Linked DNA regions of Nothobranchius furzeri. The protein of the gene in region 1 purifies or fractionates together with the protein of each later gene. This does not show direct contact. Links are inferred from orthologs where the notes say so. Each region holds a gene or a part of one and is shown on either strand. Other genes may lie near its edges. The genes, in order: usp48 and uba6.

Region 1 (4,313 bases):
TCTATATATATATATATATATATATATATATATATATATACCATAAATCCTCTAATACAGGCCCGGGCATGTATTTGACTCAAGCTCACCAAGCTCCAGGCCTTTATTGGAAGGAGGACCAGAATTAGAGGCAGGCCTCTATTTCTATTTGAGCAAAATGAGCTAATGGTTCGCTGGAGTTTTTGACAATTAAAATTGCGCCCACATTTTCAAAGTTAAACACATTTCTTTTAACAACGGTAGTTTCTGCTTCAGCCCTCTCCCCCCTCCCCCTGCGCAGCGGCAGCAAACTCACTGATGTGCCTGCAGCCTCTCAGAGTTCCTGCTGCTCTAAACATTAAAATAATTATTTCATTTTCTGTTCCTCACCTCTGATTACCGTCCATGGTGTATGTTTGTTGCAACCACCAGGTACAAAAACTAACGTGTTTTTATTTGACTATTTTTCTGTCCTGCCTGTTTATTATCTTCCTGCATCTCCTCTCAATCCTAAAGAAAAACTGCTACCTGGGTTCATTTATATTCACCTTATGAGTTACCTTTGAACTGCAGTTCTAAAAGATCTACCGACCGCAAAAACAGCGGAGTGCTCGCTGCTTGCCGGCCGCATCAGTGATCGGTGCGTCACCGGAGGACAAGGTGATGTGCCCCGCTCCACAGTGAAATGCATCAGGTGCAAATAAAAAACAGAAAACATAAAAGGAAATGAACCGATATGAACAATCGCGTGTTAAATTAGTTTTTGAGGTGGCGACACCTAATTTGATAATGTTACTGTGGCCGTGCTCAGGACGCAGATCTACCGTCCGCAAAAACAGCGGAGTGCTCGCTGCTTGGCGGCCGCATCAGTGATCGGTTCGTCACCGGAGGACAAGGTGATGCGCCCCGCTCCACAGCAGCGAAACACATCAGGCGCAAATAAAAGACAGAAAACATTAAAGGAAATGAACCGACATGAACGATCGCGTGTCAGTACCGACGCTCTGGCACAGCGTGTTGCCCCCCCCCCCCCCCCCCCCCCCCGATGCGCAGGAGCTTGTCACCTGCTGACAGCAGGCTGCTGTCTTTTCCGAGGGCTGCATCTTGCCGGTCATTATCACGTGACAGCGACTAGTCGATGACAGGCATAAAAAGTCACTATAGTGAAGTCGACTAGTCACTAGTTCATACAACCCCTACTGCTCCCCAGTGTTCTGCAGCATAATCAGCACGTTCTCTTTGAACTTGATATCAAATTTTCGCCTCCTCTTCGTCTCCGCATGGTTAAAGTTACCCTCGCGGTCTATCACTGGCAAATCAAAAGTGAGACGATGACACAACCGCCCCCCGTACTTGCTTGTTACCACATTCCACCCGGCCACAATAAGAGACCGGCCATTATTCACCTCCGCCGACTCCGACACCGGCCAAAATATGAGACCCAGCCGTTAATTGAATACAGGCCTGTATTAGAGGATTTACGGTATATATATATATATATAGATATATATATATCTATCTATATATATATATATATATATATATATATATATATATGGATAGATATATATATATATACATATATAGTACAACTAAAGCTACTAAAATTAAAATGACTAGTGTAACGTGGAATTTGCCTTTGGTTCTCTCTGAAAATCCACGTATCTGAGGTGGATGCTGTTAATTCTTGGGGTTAAAACCTGGAAAAAGTCACAACAAAGGTCACACCCAGATACAGTTGTAGTTATACCAGATTGAATGTTGTGTTCCTCTGCTCGGGAATTGTGGAACTGGTAAAGGCTTCTTCGAAGCTCCAAGTTATGGAACCATACTTGCAGGAATGTGTTGACGTAGCATGTTGCTCCAAGGTTGGTCAGACCAACAAAGGTGTTCTATAAAGACACACAGACAGACAGGGAGAATTAAGGTATCAGCTCTAGTCTAGATGATAGAACAATGGTGGTATTAACACCTAAGAAACACTAGCTGAGTGAGCAGATAGTAGAAAGAAGTACCTTGTCCCGCCGTTCTGAATTTGGATCATCAATATTATGGAAAACGTTTTCATCTATCTCCCCAAGCCATGCCTGTTCACCAATTCCAACAAGACAGTTGGGATTCCCTCTGCAATTCCTCCTAGGGGAAAATGAGTCCTGGTCATCATAGCCACTTTAAACAAGGCTTCTGTTTCAAAAGGATGTGGTACTGAAGCACCACGGTGCTAAACAACAGCACAGCACTGCAGCACATAAACGTGGCACTTCTAACTTTTTTTACTGTTTATGAGGCTGCCAGTAAGCATTAGGCAGTGCTGTCAGCACCACAACTGAAAACCGAGGCTAGTGTCTTTGCAGCGTTATAAGAGGCTGGTCACTGAAATGGTCAATAATGTGTTTTTGCTGGCAGCGAAGCGCAACGATCGTGTTAAAAATGTTAAAGTACCTGCAGGCTCCTCTCTTGCAGGCCGGGAGGTTGATGCGGTATGCTAGCTCTATGTGTTCTTGCTTGATTTCTTCTGGTTTTACCGATTCCACCCAACGCCAAGCCGCTTTCTCCAGTTGTACGCGAGGTGCCATTATCCCACGATGCAAACTTTACTATAGTCACAAATAATAAACAATGGCAAGAAAGCAAATGACTACAGCAGTCCGAGCTGTTCCCAAACAATGCTAGCATAGCCAACTAGCCAAAGCTAAATGAGCACATACGACCGTTAATAGCCACTCTTCACTGGGATGCTAAGCTAAAAACTGGCTTCGTATGACTCTTATTGAATTGAGAATTAAAACAGGCACCACTTGCCGCAACACATTCAACACAACAATTTTGCGTTCTGCGATCTTTTCTTCGTGGAAAGTAGTAAACTGCTCGAAATCGCTAATATTTAGCTAGCTACACCGGTTAAGCTAACGTGTCATTTAGCCTAATTTAGCCAAGGGCTTACTTTGTTTACGTAAACTGACGCACACCTAACACATTTATTGTGCTGAAGACAAATGGAATCGGACCTATTATGTGTGTAACTTCATCAATATGATCTTAGAAGTCCACATTTTATTTGCAGCTTATTTGAGATTTAGCGCCCTTACGTCAAGTTATAAATAAATAAACTCTCGGTTCTAAATCAACACGACGTGAACGAGTGACGCAGGACACGTTCTGCAGCGGAAGCCCTCGCCCCCTACGCTCTGAAGCTCCTTTTATTTATTTATTTATTTATTCATTCATTCATTTCGTCAGCACTTTTTTATTTTATTATTATTTTTTATTCATTTAGACATTTGAATAACAAACATACATGGCATTGTAGAATATAGAAAGGGTATAAACATTCCACATCTTGTAATAACAAGTTGAACAAGTTATGTATACTTAAACAAAAAGGTATACTTTAGGAGAAAACAGATTAACAAAATAACTGGATAAAAATTTGAAATAAAAATAAATAAATAAATAAAATGCTCAAGGTACAAATAAACAAGTAAAACAAGTGAAATTATACATTCGGCACAGCTCTAGTGTTTTACACGCTTTGGAGTTAGTACTGTTATTAAGATTCTTCAGATAATTGGAAAACAGGGCTTTAAAAGCAAATATGTTTGGACGCTGTTGAGAGAATTTTGTACAATGTATGTGAAATTTGGCAAAAATGATCAGAAGATTAATAATATTTTTTTTTCCTGAAATAATTTTATCGGTATGTGAGAGGCCAAATAGAATATGGTGAAACTTCAATTTACAAGAGGGATCAATTTTGGTGTTTATAAAATTATTTAGATCAATTCAAAATACATGTGTATAAGTGCATTCCCAAAATAAATGACATATTGTTTCCTCTGCATTGCTGCAAAAAGTACAAAGAGTATCAATATTTTTCTTACGTTTAACCAGATATGTCTTTACCGGATAACATCTGTGGATCAACTTAAAAGAAACCTCTCTTATCTTATTAGTTATAATAAATTTTCTTGGTAGAATCCAAGTGTTTTTCCAGTCTATATCATTGTAAATATTGTTCCAGTAAAATACAGCTGCATGTTTGGAAACAATATCTCTTTGAATGATTTGTCTAATACATTGATTTGTGGCTTTATCCCTCAATAAAGGACATATGTTACCGATGAATATGCTACCGGGATTTAGTTCTGGAATAATACAATTTCTACCCTTAGGAGCATACACACACTCTGAAGCTCCTACCAGCAATTGACCCTTTGCACGTGACGTCACGCCACTCATGTGACCTCCCCCTTCACCATGATGGACGGCAAAAAGATTGTTTACACCCGTTGAAACTGCAGTAAAGCTAGTCAAAACAAGCTAGTTTGTAGCCT
Region 2 (3,822 bases), on another chromosome or scaffold:
GATCGAAGCTCGTTAGATTTTCCGTTTCTCCACTGAAACAAAGATGAAACCAACAGACGCCTACTTTCTCTGAAGGTCTGTACTCGGGAATCTTGACACCTGAGAGAATCTTTGACACCGCCTCTTCAGAAAGATCCTGATGAACAGAATAGCCATGCAAGAGGTCATTGTGTGTGTGCGTGCGTGCGTGTGTGTGTGTGTGAGGCCTACCTTCACGGAGTAAGAGATGTTATAAATGTCTGCAAAGAGCCGTGCAGTGCTGATGATGAAGCTGAAGTGCCTGACGGGAGCAGAGAAGGTTTTGTACATTTGAATGATAACTGCGCGCGTGTGTGTGTGTGTGTGTGTGTGTGTGTGTGTGTGTGTGTGTGTGTGTGTGTGTGTGTGTGTGTGTGTGTGTGTGTGTGTGTGTGTGTGCATAAAACACAAACCAACACAAGAACAAACTCACAACGGGTCCTTCAAGTCGAACTCAATCGGTGTTGGGGGTCTTTTTGGGGACTGCCAAAACAAACCTAAACAGATAAAGTCAGGATGACGTTTGTGGCACAACTGATGTTGTTTAGAAGCTGCTGACCAACTTCATAAGAACTTACTTCCATCTTTTAGTCTCGTCTCCAGAGGGAAAGAGTGCAGCAGCTGTTGGCCCTACATGAGCAGCACATATAAACAACCCATAAGGCCTGAAGCTCATCACTATGGTTGCTATATAAAGGTAGAAAGTAGTACCTTTCTTTTGAAATACTTCTCAAACTTCAGACGGGCTGCAGCGATGCACTGTTCCCAATGACTGGGCCGTCGACTCAGCAGCTTAATGACCTGGAATGACCCCTCCAGACTTTCCCCAGCCTGCATCCTCTGCATGAACACAGACAGATTTTAAAGGCGTGCTACATGAAGAACACGCGTTTCCTGGTGAAACTCACATGGAGCACCGCTTCAGCTGAAGGGTGCATCTGCCAGAAAGCGTTGTACATGGAGGGCTTGTGGACAAACGCACTCTCAAACTAGACCACAACCAAAGAAACAAATATCAAGTTACTAGGACTCCTAACTATGTGCAGTATGGAAAGAATGATTATTGAGGCAGCGACACCTTATCTCTAGCCCACTGGATGGTGTGCTCTATAACGGAGGGAAAAGACTTGAGAGTGCAGAATGGGATCTCCTCTTCTGGAGGGTCCCTCTGGGAGGCAGAAGGATGGAGATTTTAGAGTAGAGGGGGAATTATTAATTATTAATTAAGCTATTTTAGAGAATTAAACCAAAACAACTTTTTCCATGAACTCACATGGCTGTTGTAAGACTCGGTCAAGTTTGGCACAATGATCTCAGTGTGTCCTTTAGTTCCCATGGTACCCGAGTCTAGAAGAGGTCTCTGATTGGACACACAGCGGCTGAAAAAAACAAACAAAAACAAAACACATCTGCATTGAATTAAGTATACGTGTGGTATGTGCATGTATATGTAACCTAAAACTTGTCGGGAGCAAAGTTTATCCCACGTGAGTGATCAGTTTTTGAACTGGACTGTAGAAGGTGTAAGAGACCCACCACCCAAAGATAAGAAGTTCTGAAGGTCTGTCCCCATCTTCTTACCCAACATTGCAACGTGCACTACAAATTAGGGGTGCTCCGACTGATCGGTAGCGGTGATCGGCAGATTAAAACCTGATCGGAGCATCCTCTCTTTTAAGTGGAGCTTGCATCTACACAGTGTCTTCACACACCTGTCCACGTATCTCCTCGCCTCCACATTGTCCAGCGCAGTGACCACGATGTTCATCGTGGAGTAGAAGGAGTCGTTGTAAATGTTCTCAGTAGCTGGACACACCTTGTGCAGGTGAGCCTCCACCTGCAGCTCTGGGTTGATCTCCCGCGTGGCTTCTGCTGCGGTCGTACTTTTTGGCTTCTAAACGCAGACGACAGGAAAATCAGATGCTCGATCTGATTCGACTCGTGTAACAGCCAGAACTAAAGCATCGACTCGCCTGGATGTGATGGGGTCTGAAGAGAAACTGCCTGTTGAGGTTTGACTTCTCTATGAGGTCTGGGTCAGTGATGCACACCTGAGAAGGTCACACACACACACACGCACGCACACACACACAGCAGTAAACACCAAAAACGGGTCAAACTGCAGGAAGAAGCTGAGGAAGACGTGCACACCTCCCCAGAGCTGCTGGCCAATCCCACACCAAGGAGAGCAAAGTTTTTAAGCATCTCACAACCGATGGCACCACAACCGACCTTAAAAAAAGAAAACAACGACGTTTATTTAGACACAATTGAACAGAGGTGTTTCATATGCAGATAAAGTCCAGTTCCTACCATAAAGACCCTGAGCTTGTGTAGATCAAGACACATGGATTCACCAATACAAGCTCTCAATCCGTCATATCGATCGCCTCGTGGAAAAAACTCCTCAGAGGGAAGAGACTGGAGAGGCCTGACGAGCTCCAAGGTGTCCAGATAAAACTAAACACACGAGAAACGGTTTGGGAGAGATCAGATCATTACAAGTGGGAGAAAACCCACCGATGTGCTACGTTTCAACGCTCTGACAGAACCCTACCCATTGCTGCAGAGGTGCAAACTTCCCTGTGATAGCCTTTAGAACTTCCTGACTGGCTATTCCTCCCACAGCTGCAGCTAACGGAGCCAGAGTTCCTCTGGCGGTCCTGGACAAACATCGCACCAGCTCAGAGTTTACAGGAGCCTGCGAGGGAGAGAGGCAATCAAAGGGTGTGAAGCTGGATCAACAGTGTGAAAACAAACCTGCTGACCACTAAGATGTCTTACACCTAAAGTAGGAGTAGTCTTATATTCAAATGCATACATTACATGTAACTGTATTTATTATAAAGCTACTGGACGGTTCTGACTATAATCTAGGAAGCATCATGTTCATTCTGAAAATCCAACATTCACCCCTAAAACCAACAGCTACAAAAGAAGGAATAAAATACTCACCTTGTTTTTAAGGGTGGTGTTCACCTCCTCAGTCAGCTTTAATAAAGTATCAGCATCCTGTAAACACCTGAAAACAGCAGAAACGTTCAGGAAGTCCCTCCTCTCATCCATCCATCACCTGCTTCACTCCGATAAAGCACACGGGCTAGTTCTGTTTACCCGACGTTGGGGAGTCTGCAGAGCTGCTCCTGAAATCGGTCCAGAGCCAACATGGCGGCATGGATCTGTAGCGGGGCCTGATGGGTGGATTTAAAACAACAATGTGACACTAACTAAAGGATTTGGATGTTTAATCAGAGTATGCAACTATAATTACTTTAGTTATCTGGTTAAACTGGTCTTAACTCGCCACTGGACAAAAGCAAATCTGACACTCTTACTGTTAAACACACATTCAATTATGAAGGGCATCAAGTGACCGTATGGATAACTGATCTGCTGCTGTGAAAAGCTCTCAGGTTTAGTTTAGCATGTTAATACAGCCGATTACACACGCCAGAAAATCCAGCATTAATCCATCAGGTTAGATCAGAAGGCTGTGTGAACATAACCTGGCCTAGCCCGGTCTTGGTAGCACGGCCAGGTTCCTTTCACTCAGCCTTCTCGAGAACGCGGAAATGTCAGAGTATGTGGGCGGGGCCAAAGATGTGCAGAGACATCAGTGGTGTCACCCTTAGACTAAGGAGCCTGTGTGCAATGTTGCTTTTGGGGACACCGACTTAAGGTTGCAGGGATTAACCGGTTTGACTGTTAACCCCGGTTACCCCCCCCAAAGACATCTCCAACTCCGCCTATTAAGAAAACAACAAAAAGACAACATTGCGACCCGCACCGACCAAAACAAAGGTG

The links.
Region 2: the proteins of usp48 (region 1) and uba6 fractionate together in Homo sapiens (co-fractionation; 3 studies listed by BioGRID, with this or other methods). This does not show direct contact. The link is inferred for Nothobranchius furzeri from reciprocal best matches to the Homo sapiens genes USP48 and UBA6.

Annotation. Positions count from the first base shown.
Region 1 is NC_091743.1:4,791,137-4,795,449, forward strand, and holds the start of usp48 (ubiquitin carboxyl-terminal hydrolase 48), read right to left. Parts: upstream 3,071-4,313; 5' UTR 2,556-3,070; coding exon 2,422-2,555; intron 2,116-2,421; coding exon 1,995-2,115; intron 1,872-1,994; coding exon 1,730-1,871; intron 1-1,729.
Region 2 is NC_091747.1:78,737,524-78,741,345, reverse strand, and holds part of uba6 (ubiquitin-like modifier-activating enzyme 6), read right to left. Parts: intron 3,210-3,822; coding exon 3,133-3,209; intron 3,041-3,132; coding exon 2,974-3,040; intron 2,720-2,973; coding exon 2,576-2,719; intron 2,479-2,575; coding exon 2,332-2,478; intron 2,251-2,331; coding exon 2,170-2,250; intron 2,070-2,169; coding exon 1,992-2,069; intron 1,913-1,991; coding exon 1,731-1,912; intron 1,398-1,730; coding exon 1,292-1,397; intron 1,187-1,291; coding exon 1,097-1,186; intron 1,008-1,096; coding exon 927-1,007; intron 859-926; coding exon 730-858; intron 649-729; coding exon 597-648; intron 516-596; coding exon 452-515; intron 281-451; coding exon 211-280; intron 137-210; coding exon 65-136; intron 1-64. UniProt on the Homo sapiens protein: Activates ubiquitin by first adenylating its C-terminal glycine residue with ATP, and thereafter linking this residue to the side chain of a cysteine residue in E1, yielding a ubiquitin-E1 thioester and free AMP.